Linked DNA regions of Caenorhabditis elegans. The protein of the gene in region 1 interacts with the protein of each later gene in a pairwise test. Each region holds a gene or a part of one and is shown on either strand. Other genes may lie near its edges.

Evidence for each region.
Region 2: the proteins of fsn-1 (region 1) and skr-1 interact in binary tests that used the Caenorhabditis elegans proteins (3 or more experiments, as listed by UniProt).
Region 3: the proteins of fsn-1 (region 1) and rpm-1 come close enough for resonance energy transfer, tested with the Caenorhabditis elegans proteins (one study listed by BioGRID).

What each region holds. Positions count from the first base shown.
Region 1 is NC_003281.10:4,935,473-4,939,995, reverse strand, and holds fsn-1 (F-box/SPRY domain-containing protein 1), read right to left. Parts: upstream 2,675-4,523; 5' UTR 2,636-2,674; coding exon 2,549-2,635; intron 2,410-2,548; coding exon 2,196-2,409; intron 2,147-2,195; coding exon 1,783-2,146; intron 1,731-1,782; coding exon 1,583-1,730; intron 1,044-1,582; coding exon 858-1,043; 3' UTR 543-857; downstream 1-542. Other genes in the region: rpb-2 (DNA-directed RNA polymerase II subunit RPB2), read right to left, coding at 1-216, 260-394; mrps-18C (Large ribosomal subunit protein uL3m), read right to left, coding at 2,926-3,264, 3,310-3,474, 3,588-3,715, 3,793-4,181, 4,228-4,418. UniProt on the Caenorhabditis elegans protein: Component of a SCF (SKP1-CUL1-F-box protein) E3 ubiquitin ligase complex which is required for the restriction and/or maturation of synapses in GABAergic neuromuscular junction (NMJ) presynaptic neurons.
Region 2 is NC_003279.8:9,469,760-9,473,198, reverse strand, and holds skr-1 (Skp1-related protein), read right to left. Parts: upstream 1,650-3,439; 5' UTR 1,636-1,649; coding exon 1,555-1,635; intron 1,371-1,554; coding exon 1,095-1,370; intron 1,050-1,094; coding exon 876-1,049; 3' UTR 554-875; downstream 1-553. Other genes in the region: calm-1 (EF-hand domain-containing protein), read left to right, coding at 285-502; skr-2 (Skp1-related protein), read right to left, coding at 2,745-2,918, 2,964-3,233, 3,415-3,439. UniProt on the Caenorhabditis elegans protein: Probable essential component of SCF (SKP1-CUL1-F-box protein) E3 ubiquitin-protein ligase complexes, which mediate the ubiquitination and subsequent proteasomal degradation of target proteins.
Region 3 is NC_003283.11:8,816,903-8,821,831, forward strand, and holds the start of rpm-1 (E3 ubiquitin-protein ligase rpm-1), read right to left. Parts: upstream 3,054-4,929; coding exon 2,867-3,053; intron 2,799-2,866; coding exon 2,575-2,798; intron 2,134-2,574; coding exon 1,700-2,133; intron 1,562-1,699; coding exon 1,117-1,561; intron 971-1,116; coding exon 826-970; intron 775-825; coding exon 1-774.

The sequences.
Region 1 (4,523 bases):
CATCATTGGCATTGGTGCTCCGTCTTTCTCCCAGTGAGTTGGTTTCGAGAGGTAAATTTGATTGAATTTCAATGAGAATTTCGCAGGATTTTCCATATCTGTGCCAAGATGCTGATTTTCTGATTGAAGTTCGACTGGCGGAGAATCCTCAACAATTCGCTGCACATTCATTTGGACGAATTCATCGAAGGAATCAAGTTGTTGACGAACGAGACCCTTCAAAAAAGAGATTCTTTCATGATTTTATAATCAAAAATACCTTTTCATCGAAATAAGCACTGATAACAACCCAACATGCTTCTTGCCATGCTTCTGCACTGATTTCATCCGAATCATCGATATAGTCTCCGTCCATCGGGTCATTAACCATCTCATCCTCATCATCGTACATCATTTTTGCCGGCGACGTACAGTGATTCTGATATGAGGCTGAAAAAGTTGATGATTAGGAAAAAAGAATTCAAGAAAAACTATAGGTATTTAGCGGATTTTTACAAAGAAAAAACCGAATAAACAATTTAAAAAGCATATAATATTATTATAAAGCGACGAAAAAGCTTCATTGAGAAATGGACCAATTATCACGAAGTGACTAGAAAAGCTCGATAAGCAATAAAAGAGATCAATATGGGAATGAGAAAGTGTGTGAGAGGAAAGCGTGCGGGAAAAAGATCTATTATGAGTGTTTTAATTACAGGTAAAGTTTAATATCAGAATTAAATAATTTTCATATTTTTCTGAAAATTATAATAACAGTAGAAATATGAGACAAGCGATGAAAACATGTGAATAATTACATTTTGAGTGGCGAATAAATACGCGCGCAGAAGTCAGAATATACGCTCTAGCGAACGTCTTCAACCCATTTGTGGACTTCCAACATACACCATTGTCACTTCTGTGTTGCCATAAACCGCACAGACAGCCGGATAGAGACGTAATGGGGGAATATGGTTGAATGCGATTCCGAGAAATTCCGAGTTTCGTTCAAAGTAAGCGACATGGGTGTCACAGTCGATTATTAGGCGGATTTTATCGCCGACCTGGAAAAAGGATTATTTCAGTTTTTAACTAATTAGTTTATTCGAAGATTTTAAACCATTATTTCAAAATATAATTTTTCAGGAAGTTAAATATTAAAAAAAAAAAACAACAAAAAAACTTGTTCTAAATTTTTAAAATTTCACTTTGTTAAAAAATATAATTTTTCTTTTCTGTACAGTTTTAGTGAATGGAAAATAATTGTTTCAATTTATCGAAGTTTGAATATTGTGAATTCTAGCCGAGGAAATAAAAAAAATGGTTTGAATTTCTAGCACTTTTCACAATGCAGATATACAGAAAAAGTTAATTATTGGAAATTTCTCGACAACTCAAAAAAAACTCGTCATGCGATTTTACCATGACGTTCATGTTTCTTAAATTGTTAGAGATGAAAAATTGAACTTTTTCACATATTAAACAACTTTATAAAACAAGAACGTCGTATTTTGTAAAATTGTGGCCCAATACCGTTGTTTCGTCCTAGAACGAAATATATTTGCTTGCATCGGCTTATAACTGAATTTTTTTAGTGAAATACCTCATATTTCGGAGGATTGTTCATTTTTGGATAAACACCAAGCTGTGCTCCATTGTGCATCAAAACATTATCTACAAGATTCCATCCCCATGATTGATCATCTGATCCGAGGAGAGCAACATAGCCAACACAGTGAAGAGCAGCATGTCTGAAAATGTTAAAGATATATCTTTAAATTTTCAAATAAATTAACTACTCACTTAGTAGCAATACCAACAACGGCTACAGTTCCCAACGGTCCATCCCAAGTTATATCAAATGCGTGTACTCCTTTTGAAATCCCTCGTTTTCCACGGACACCGTCTGTTGACTGAGCAACTGGCTGCCGGTGAACAGTGAAACCGTTGGTACGGATGTAGTTATTTCTTGAAATATCGCTCGTATTCCAGGCAAAATACCAGGCTCTCAGCTTCTTTTTTGCAGATCCCAGCTCGGCGAGCAGGAAGGGATCGGAAACTGCTGCTTCTGGAAGCTTCTTGCCAAGAAGGTACTGCCATATGTCACTGTCTTCCATTGAAAGAGCGTTATTCCAACTATGACAGGTTAGCATTGCAGATCGTAGGTCTGAAAACAGAGCCATGTAACTTCAAGGGGGAAAATGTTATATGTTTACCTTTCAATGGTAAATACTGAAAAATCTGATTCAGTACTTTCAGAGGAAGTCTAGAAGCTGACACTTCCGGGCGTCGTGGAGAACGTCGTCGTCTTGGGGGAATGCTATGCGGAGTCAATTGTTTTGGTGATTCATCTGGGGTTCCTGATGATGGATTCCCTTCGTCATCACATTCCACCATTGAAGTTTTTCGTTCTTTCGGGCTTTCCACTTGCTGAAAATTTAATATATTTCCCTTTTTTATTATTTTATAGCTTGTTTTCATAAACAATTTTTTAAAAATATTGTCTAGCTTTGAAGTTTGAAAAATTCAAGTTTCAAAAACAGTATTTTGAAAAAAGAAAGCAACTCACTTCCAACCCACTACTTTTCATAGGCGTTGAGGCCGTCAAATTGCACTGTTCGTCTGGAACAATCGTTTCCCCGTCGTTTTCAGCCATACTTCTCGATTAACCAGCTCACCACAGTCTTGTCATTCGCTTCAAATTGAGAATCCAAGTTTCAGAATGCATAATGTTAAGAAATAAAGTAAATCTCGGTAAACGACCGGTTTGGAAAAAAATCAACAAATAATTGAATATAAACTCTGCTTTTTGGTATTCAGAACAAACAAAAACAATGCAAAACAATGAAAAATCTATAAATCTACGGAACAAAAATTCTAATAAACCGAATTTCGACAAAAAACGATAAAGGAAAACCGTAATATATCATAAAATTAGATACACCATTACTTTTTAACTTTTGCAATCTTAGCTTTCGTTTTATCTCTTCCAGTGGCCTTCTTGGCGTCGGCATCAGTGAATAAAATGGATGGAGATGTGAAACGGAACAGTTTGGGCGAGAATTTTTCGTTGAAAAGAAGATTTTTGGGAATTGTGCCTTCTTCGGGTTCTGTCTCCGGTTCTTCTTCGATGGTTTCTAGTGATGGAGCCCATGTTGGCATTGGGCCGGATTTCAGACGTTTTTCTTCTTGTAAGCAATCTTTAAGTAGAATTGTTTCTCCAATATCACCAGGTACACTTCCTTTCACATAAATTACTTGTTTATCTACATTGATTCGAACAATCTTAAATAAATGAATTGAAAATTAAAATCGAGAGCAATTTCTTACTTCCAAACCAGAAACAGTCCTCCACTCATAACCCATATGTCCCGGCATACGTTTTCCTGGCCAAATTCGAGCATCGCCGACTGAACCAACGGAACCAATTCTACGATGTGATTTTGTGGTACGTCTTGTCGGTTGTCCACGCATTCCCCATCGATGCATTCCACCCTGAAAACGACTAGTTTCGAAAATATTTCGCAAGGGTTGAGAGATTATTTTGCTCCTTGGCTTGCAAGGGAAATTTTGGAAGTTTTAGACTATTGTAAATTGAAAAAAATTACCTGGAATCCCCAGTCAATAGTTTTTCCAGTAGCAGTTACATATTGACCAACTCCGAAGTGACGGGCATCAAGTGGCTGTCCAGCACTGGGGAGAGCGTCTTCTGTTACCAGGAAACATCCGAGTTTCTCTGAATTTATTTTTTTAACCATGAATTTACGGTGAAGGACTATCGAAAAGCGGAGCAAAACACAAAAAAAACCCAACCTTTCACTGGAATTCCTGCGCGAACAAATTGCCTACGGTACCCAAGCGTGTATTTTGTTGGATCATCATTTCCGGCACCCACTGTAACTCTCCACATAGGACCGTGACGATTGAAAGCCTTTCTTTTTCCGACGGCTGACGATTTATACCAAGCCTCTGGTGATGTAATACTGACAACATGATTTTCATCAACTTCAAGCACAGTGCACAGAATTCGGTTTCCTTCATTTGTCCATTGTGGGAGCATTCCGATTTTGCGGACAACCAGACCCACACGTCTTGATGAATCTGGAATGTCAACAACTGAGACATTGGTTTCTTGAGAATTTTGAAATGCAATGGTGGACGCCGCAAGAGTTTCTTTCTCAATTACGGTTTCAAGCAGATTTCTGAACAAAAACGTTTGCTAAACAGGTAAGAATTAATGCAACTTACTTTGTCCCCTGGCTAATACCCACACTGCTTTTCGGCACACTCTCTTTGACTGGCGGAAGCCATGGAGCTGGGGTCAATGTTCTTCTGCGACCTCTCTGCTGACTGATATGTCCACTGAAGGCCATTAGAATTCTCCCGGCCCATTCTGGAGTCGGACCCGTCGTCACACTGGATACCAGTGAACGGAGCATCTGTAATTAAGATTAAATATTAGTGAGATATAATTGATCATGAAATTCTAGAATAAAAATGAAGAAAATATCATCAGAAACTCCGCATGGAAATAAAAATGCGAG
Region 2 (3,439 bases), on another chromosome or scaffold:
GATTAGACATAAAATCATTTGATATTAACAATCCATAAAAGTTATATGGTTCTTATTACGTAGACGTCCATAGTTGCGAATTTTCACCACAATTTACGCGCAACGTCTCGCCATTCCGGCAACGGGTTACTGTAACTCGCGTAAATAAATTGTATTATATCATATTGTTATTTTAACAATCATGACATAAATTTTGCATTTATATCTGATAAAATTATATTGCAATAGCGGTCCTTAGAGGTCTGCGTAATAATATTTAATTTAGTATCAAAATATTGTTTTAGATTACGATGGAGATGAACTTCTTGGACATGATGATTTGAGTAAAATGATTCGAAGTTTAACAAGAGATGAGCTGAGTGATGTAGAAGTTGAATTTATAATTGAACGAATTATTGAAGAAGCTGATTTGGATGGAGACTCGAGTATAAACTTCGCAGAATTTGAACACGTTGTCTCTCGATCACCTGACTTCATTAGAACTTTTCATATCAGAATTTAAATACATTCACGGGTTATATTTTTTTCAATGTTTTACATAAATCGTTTGTTTTTTGTATCGTCTCATCAACTTTATTTTTAGGCATGTACAATCACGTAAAGGACACACTGATGTTCATTGGAGGAAATGTGTGAGAATCTCACACTGCATAATTTTTGCCGGTCGGTGATTTATAGGTATAAATATAGAATGGCGGTTAAAATTCAAAAGATGCATTTTAATTAGGTGAAAAAAGGAAGAAGTTTTTGGGCTGCCAGAGATGATGTAAAAAATAGACAGAGACCATATCAGGACAATGTGTGAAGTGTGAAGGGGAAGGAAGCGACATGTCGTTTAGAAATGTAATAGAGAAATAGGCAAACTGAAGGGTAATTTAATCCTCGCACCAGGCATTCTCTTTGCGGATTTGCTCTTCCTCTTCCGGGGTGAAGTCGTTCTTGATGTTGAAAGTGCGACGAATCTCTTCTGGAGATTTTCCCTTGATCATGTTAGCAACAGTCTTGCAGGTAACATCAAGAAGTCCCTTGATGTCCAAATAGTTGGCAGCCTAAAAATATGAATTTCAAATATTGGAACTAAAATAACAAGTTACCAAGATGAGCTCGAAAAGGGTTCCTTGGTCAACCTTAAGAAACTCGACGTCCCAGCTGCCTATGTCGTCAGTTCTTTTCTCGCGGTTATCGGAATCTTCAGTCGAGATAGGATCGGAGTGATGATGGTTGCACCAACTAATGACCTTCTTCAGAATCGAGGCAGTGACGTTTTGAACTGGAATTGGCTCAGCGTTGGTTCCTTCTTCGTCGTCGAGTCCAAGATCCATCAGGAGAGTGTTGATAGTGTTTGAGAGACGGATCACATTGCGTGGGACCTGGAAGTTTAGTTTGTGAATTTTCAAATATAGTGGAACATTTAACATTGTCTATTTTTCTATAAGTCAGATCACCTAGGATACCAAGAAGCAAAACTCTACGCGCGCATGCATGCAGCACGGCTTATCGATTTAGTTTTTTTAGACAAAAATAACGAAAACGAAGGAATAATTTGAATCTTACCAAGAAGATTTCGTTATCCGAAGACGATATCTTGATTTCGCGTTCCTTTGCCGCCTCGGATACTTTCTTTTGATCAGCCATCGCGTTGAAATCGATTGAAATTGAGAAATTATTGTGAAAAGAACGATTACATACAAATAATAAAGAAGAACAGGTAGAAAAAAAAAAGAACGATTAAGAGTATTTCCATCGAGAAAAATTAAAAGTTTTAAATTTTCCAACGCAAAATACCTGCAAAACAAAGAAAAACAACGAAAAATAGAATGAGAACGTTGAGAAATGAGCGAATAGAATGTGAGTGTGTCGTATGATGCGAGAGAAGCGAGGAAACAGTGTAGAGAAGCGAGGAAACAGTGTACACACAAAGGAAGAGACGCAGAGTTATCGATCGTTATAGAACGCAATGCGGGAACGAATTGACAAATATGACAATTTATTGGATGGACAAAGTCTTTAAAAAAATACTAGAAAGATAATGGAGGAACGGTATATTTACTAAATTTCGAGTTGCAGATATTCAGAGATAATGTTTTTTAATTATATAAAATTAAAAAGAGAGCGGACGGCGTACATAATATAGTCTTTTCAGCGAATATCGGCACTCGATTTTTGATAGATAGAAAAAGGAGAATATCAGGAAAAAAAAAATGAAAGAAATGGAAAAAATAGATCTCGTTTTAAAGATATCGCAACTTTCAGTTAAATGCGGGGATTTAGCAGCGTCAGGCGCAATATGCGATAAAGTCATGTAAATACATTACTTGAATAACCCCATTCGCAATTAATCACAGAAAGTAATTTTCATTCACACGATCCGTAGCTTTTAAAACTGAGAAAAGTATTGTTTTTTTATTTATTTCGAAATCTACGCGCGCGGAAAACGAAGCAACTTTGGCCTAGAATTTCACATCTCGTCATCTTCCATTTCAAAAGTGAAGGATCTATAGTCCTGTTCAGACTAAAAAATACTATTGCTGTGGCTTTAAAACCAATTGCATTGTTTGCAATTTTCATGTTCACATCAACTTTATTGAATGAAAAACAGAACTGTACACAGTTGTGTCAGCTGGCAGTGAAGAAATTTGTTAACAATTAAAAAGTGCGTTTAATAAGGGGAAAGATATGGTGGATGATGTGAAACATTTAGAAAACAAGGTAATTGAAAGTTTAACAGGGGAAAAGATGGAGATTTAATCATCGCACCAGGCGTTTTCCTTACGGATTTGCTCTCTCTCCTCTGCAGTGAAGTCGTCCTTGATGTTGAAAGCACGACGAATTTCATCTGGAGATTTTCCCTTGATCATGTTGGCGACAGACTGGCAGGCGACATCAAGAAGTCCTTTGATGTCCAAATAGTTGGCAGCCTGAAAATAGGAATTTAAAATATTGCAACTAAAATAACAAGTTACCAAAATGAGCTCGAAAAGGGTTCCTTGGTCAATATCGAGAAATTTTTTGTCCCAGTCTTGGATGGAACCATCCGTTTTCTTCTCACTGTCTTCAGTTGGAATTGGGTCGGACTGGTGTTTGGTGCACCAGTTGATAACCTTCTTCAAAATCGAGGCAGTGACGTTTTGCACTGGAATTGGCTCAGCGTTGGTTCCTTCATCGTCGTCGAGCCCGAGGTCCACAAGAAGAGTGTTGAGAGTGTTTGAGAGACGGATCACATTGCGTGGGACCTGGAAGTTCAGATTGCAATTTTTCCCATGCCATCTAGCGTACAGTGCCGCTTTTTTTGTTGATTTATTAAAAATCAACTAGGCTACTAAACATTTTCTATAAGAACTGCGAAAGCGTCTTATCGACCCGAAGCCTAGTTTTTCAGATAAAAATGACAATAACAAACGAATTTCAGCTTACCAAGAAGATTTCATCATCCGAAGAC
Region 3 (4,929 bases), on another chromosome or scaffold:
CTCTACCAGGCTGTGCTGGTTCTGTAACCTCTCCACATGGTCTGCAAAGTCCACATCGAAGGCATGTTGACTCTCCAACACCGCAATGACACATGGTTCCCTTTGGTCGAGGAACTCTTCCACATGCTACTCCTCGTGCGGAGCAAAGCCCGCATTGAGCACATACCGAGGGTGTGTCAGTTAGCCACGTGTGTTCTCCGATAGGACAAATCTGATACTCTTGACGACCGGAATGTCTTGGAGAAGACGTGGTTGAAGTTGATTCAACTCTTCCACATTGATTCATATTGTTCAATCCCCATGTAAAAAGATGGCCATTTCGAGTCACAGCAACACCGTGAGATTTTCCAAGCGCTAATGAAGAAATCATCACATTATCCAGTCCATTTAACATTTGACTTGAAACATTCACTCTCATTGTATGAAGTCCTCCCATGAAAATCTTTCCATTTTCAGATACATATCCATAGACATGACCAGAGGCGCAAACATGAACAATTTTCCGGCGATTAGATGGAACAAGTCGACGTAGTCTTCCATTTCTTTTCTTATCGTCTACACTTGCAATCCAACCATGCCCTGCACCAGAACGAAACATTATTGTATCAATTCCAACAGAAATTTGAACTATTGGCTCGGGAAGACACAGTTCCATCCAGTTGTTCCCAGTTTCAAATAATCCGAACCTTGTCCCGTTTCCAGCGTAGTACACTTTTCCAGAGCGAGCTTGAATGAATGCCATTTCTCGAGTGAAGTGAAGATCAACAGTTTGAGCTGAAAATTGATATGTTCAAATTTCCATGTAAACAAAACTACTATTCTTACGATGAAGGTTTGCAGGTAGAAATTCGGGGAGTTGGTGAGGAACTTGAAGATCTCCTTGAATCGTGAACTTCACATCAGTGAGTCGATGACTTCTTCGTGATGATGGCTCATTGGAAGGGGAAAATGAATCATTTAGTTGAATTGTCTGAAATATGTTATTTATAAACTTTTTTGAGCTGTCATGTTATGTGTTTTTATTTCTAACAATAAGTAGAATTTTCACGATTAAAAGTGTTTAAAAATAGTTTCAATTAAATATCTTAATTTTTAATTTGAGAGAATAAATCCTACCGATAGTGTAGAATTGGCAATCAGAGTTGCACTGTAAAAGTATGTTCCATCCGTGAACAGTGCATGTTGTACACAACTTGGTGGTAGAATCACTTCTCCAATATCCAACAATGAATCCGTGTCAATCACTGATATGCATGATGAGTAATTTCTTCGTAAATACAATGATCCATTGCATAAATACATTTGCACATTTTTCGACGATTGTAAACTCTGATTCGCTGCATACAACTTTCCAGAAATTGTTTCATTCAGGCCGGTCCCCAACTTGTAGAGTCCAACATAATTAAGAATGTAGAGAAATGTTCCATCACATGCCATTGTGCTATGTATTCGATTGTCATCGTCGGGAGTGTCGGAAGACGGAGAGCTATCAGGAAGACTAGGTAGACTGAAACTGCTTGCTACCGAGTGCTCGTGAACATCTACCATTGCCCAGTTTGGTCTGAAATTTTGCATTTAATAAAATACTAATAAAACTATCATGGGATTTTGCAAGCTTCTAAGAAATTCTACTAAAAGAAGAAATTTGTGAACACAATACTACATATTTGAATACTTTCAACTTGAATAAAATACTCACGGGGAATTGGCAGTGTTGTCTCCGCCTAAAGCTTTCCTCCTCACTTTCAGTAGTAATTTTCTCAAATTTTCTGGCATTTGGATCATATCATACGTCGAATCGGCGCTCATTCGAATATTTTTCTTCATACAAATTAATGATCGAATTGTGCTTCCTAAATGCTCCGGCTCTCCACATGCAACTGATAAAGCCACAAGGCATGAGGTAGCTTTTGAGCTCACTGAGGGACAGGCATCTTCTCGAAGCGTTTTCAGAACGTGCATCATTGCAGACATTGATAAACGGTTTTCGGACTGAAGACAATCGATTGGCATCGATTGGATCAATGATAACAATGATTCGAGAGCTTGAACACAAAGTTCGGCGTCACGTCGACTTAATTGCTCGAGAACTTCGAAGATACATGTTAAACTAGCTCCAACCAGCTGATCAGTCTGAAAATTCATGAGAGCTGAACCATTTTTCACCTTTTAAAACAGTTTTTAATAAGAAAAAGTATTTCACACACGGGTTCCAAAAAGTTGTAGAGTTATATGTTCAGTTCCATTTTGAAATTTATGGTAATTTAGTATTCCAAAATTGTTTTATTACTCACCGGTTCAATTTCAAATAATTATTTTTCAAACCATATTCTATTTTTAGCGTTTAAAAAGGAAACAATTTTGAATCTAGCTGGGGGGATATCGTCAATGTGTAAAACACGGTTTCATAATTGTTTTTTCTGGTTTCCTTGCCGACCTATGTCCCAGTTTTGCAAGCTTCTTAACTACGTTTCGAAAAAAAATTTAGAAAAAATTTGGCTGTTGACTTTGAAACTTAATTAGAAATTTCAATGTATTTTTCATTTAATACTTTTTAACATTATAAAAACTCACATTTTTGTATTGCTTTCCCTCTTCATCAGCTCCACTGGTTCCGGCTTCCTCTTCGCTTCCATCTTCTTTTTCAGAAACTTCTTCTGGATTCCCAAACCGTGCAAGAATTGATTTGGCAATTGCTACTAAAGCAAAAGGCGAAGGTGGTCCCACAACAAATTTTGAGTTCAGAATATCATGAAAATTAATTTGTTGTTGCTGGTCCAGAGGTGTTTTGGATTTCTCTGAAATTAAAAATTATTTTTATTTTTATTATTTTATACTTCTCCAAACTACAAAAAAATATACTAACCTTCTTCTTTATCGAGTTTCCCGCAATGTGCTGGAACCCTGAGAATATCCGGTTTGCATGTGTTCTCGGCACATTTGTATAGCAATTTTCTCAGTCTTCGTGCACTTTTCCTATCTTCAGGAATCGACGTTTCGGTGCTCGTGGAACACACTCGTTCACCATCAATTTCTCGCAAGAAGAACGACATTTGGATATTCTTTGGAAAGTTAATAAAATTGGTTAAATATTGTGGATAGATTGATTCTCATCATTAGTGATCTGAAAAATTTAACTGTGGCATTTAGAAAAAAAAATAACAGAGAAACTCTGAGGCGTCAATTTCTCTGCAATTATGTGCATTCAGGAAATATGAGGAAAATTGAAGGAAAAGAAAACCATGAAACAATAACTAAATTTTAAGATCACAGGCTTAGTATATGCGCAGATGTGATTTTGAACGTAGCGCCAGTGGGATTTTTCTTGATTTTTTTAAGATTTGAAAGAAAATTGCAATAATTTAACATTTATCCTTACTTTTTGTCACAAAATATTTGAAAGTTTGACAAAAAAAAGGTTCGAATCATATCGCAGCTTTAAAAAATGAAGAAAATCGGATGAAGTTAGCAGGAAAGCGAAATTACTTTGATCGCTTATTCAAGAATAATTTAGGTACGATAATCCAACTCCAATTGAAGAAATTTTTTTTGAATTTTCAATTATCGTAAATATTATAGGCGTTTGAATGAAAATTACCCAAATTACAAGAAAAGAGGAAAAAGGGAAAATTGTGAAAGATTTTTGTTCACCAAGGAATAAAAAAGTATAAAGCCGAGCAAAAGCAATATTGACAGACTTTACTGTTTTCCGTTCGCTCACAAACCACGTGCCTATCCCTTGTTCTGTCCGATCACAAAACGATATTTCTCCGAGACAAAAACGTTTTTTTTAAATAAATGAACAAAATCTAGAACTCCGGGAAATTAAGTTTCCTGTCCGAATCATTTTGCTGATCTGCGAAAATCGAGGGACATTCATAGAAGAGACGAAGAGAAGAAGGTCCCACCCCCCGTAAAAGGGTATGCGCCCGTTTTGTTGAGAAAGGAAGAGAAGTGAGAGAGACACAGAAAGTGAGATGAAACCAAAACGGAGAAAAGAGAACGAGACATAGTGTTGTCTTTGTTGGAGACAGACTCGCTTGTAATGGACAGCCGGTCAGACATGAGAAATAGGACGCAAGGAGATGGAAACGGAGAGCAAGGGACGGGTGTCCCTAGATGGACGAAGAAGAAGGGCTCCGTGCGTGTATTTGTGTGTGTATCTGTGAGAAGTGTCGAAAAGCGGAGATGAGGACAGAAGAAGGAGAAAATTGGGTGTGGGTCCGGAAAAAAGGGAAAAAGATTTGAAATTAGATATGCCAGCTTGGAGAAGCTTTTGTTATTTCTTGAGAGGTATCCAAATCAGATTGTTTTTTTTTGCTGTGGGATATCTGAACAATATTCTAAAATACGGTATGTATTAAGTACCTTAAAATTTACCTGTTATAAGAGTTTGATGGCAGTGTTATTAACAATCTGAAATATAAATATGTATACTGAAATAGAAAAGTTGTTTTCAGCTATTCGAAAATAGACGTAGGTACATAAATAAATCTTGGATTAAGAAAGGTGTAAACAGTGACGTATGTGATTAATCGTATAAGCACCAAATTTTATCAAGTTTTTTTAAAACTTTATTGCAGCAAATTATTTTATTAATGTGGCGTATCCAAAACTATTAAAATTGAATACTTTTGATCTAGTGTTATGTCTTTCAATGTTGTCAACTGCTGAAACATCTGATATTCATCAAGAGTGTCTATACTGATCTATTTTGTTAAATATAATTTATTAAAAATTTCTGAAAATAATTGAGACTCTTGAAAAAATCCATTTAAAACAATCAAAATAGTTCAAAAAGTTCACATATTTTTATTGTTATAAAAATATAATAAAATTGCAATGTTTATCGAAAAAATGAAATTTCATAATTATTTAAACAATCCAAATTGTATAAACAGAAGGCACTCAATAAGTTCACATATGACT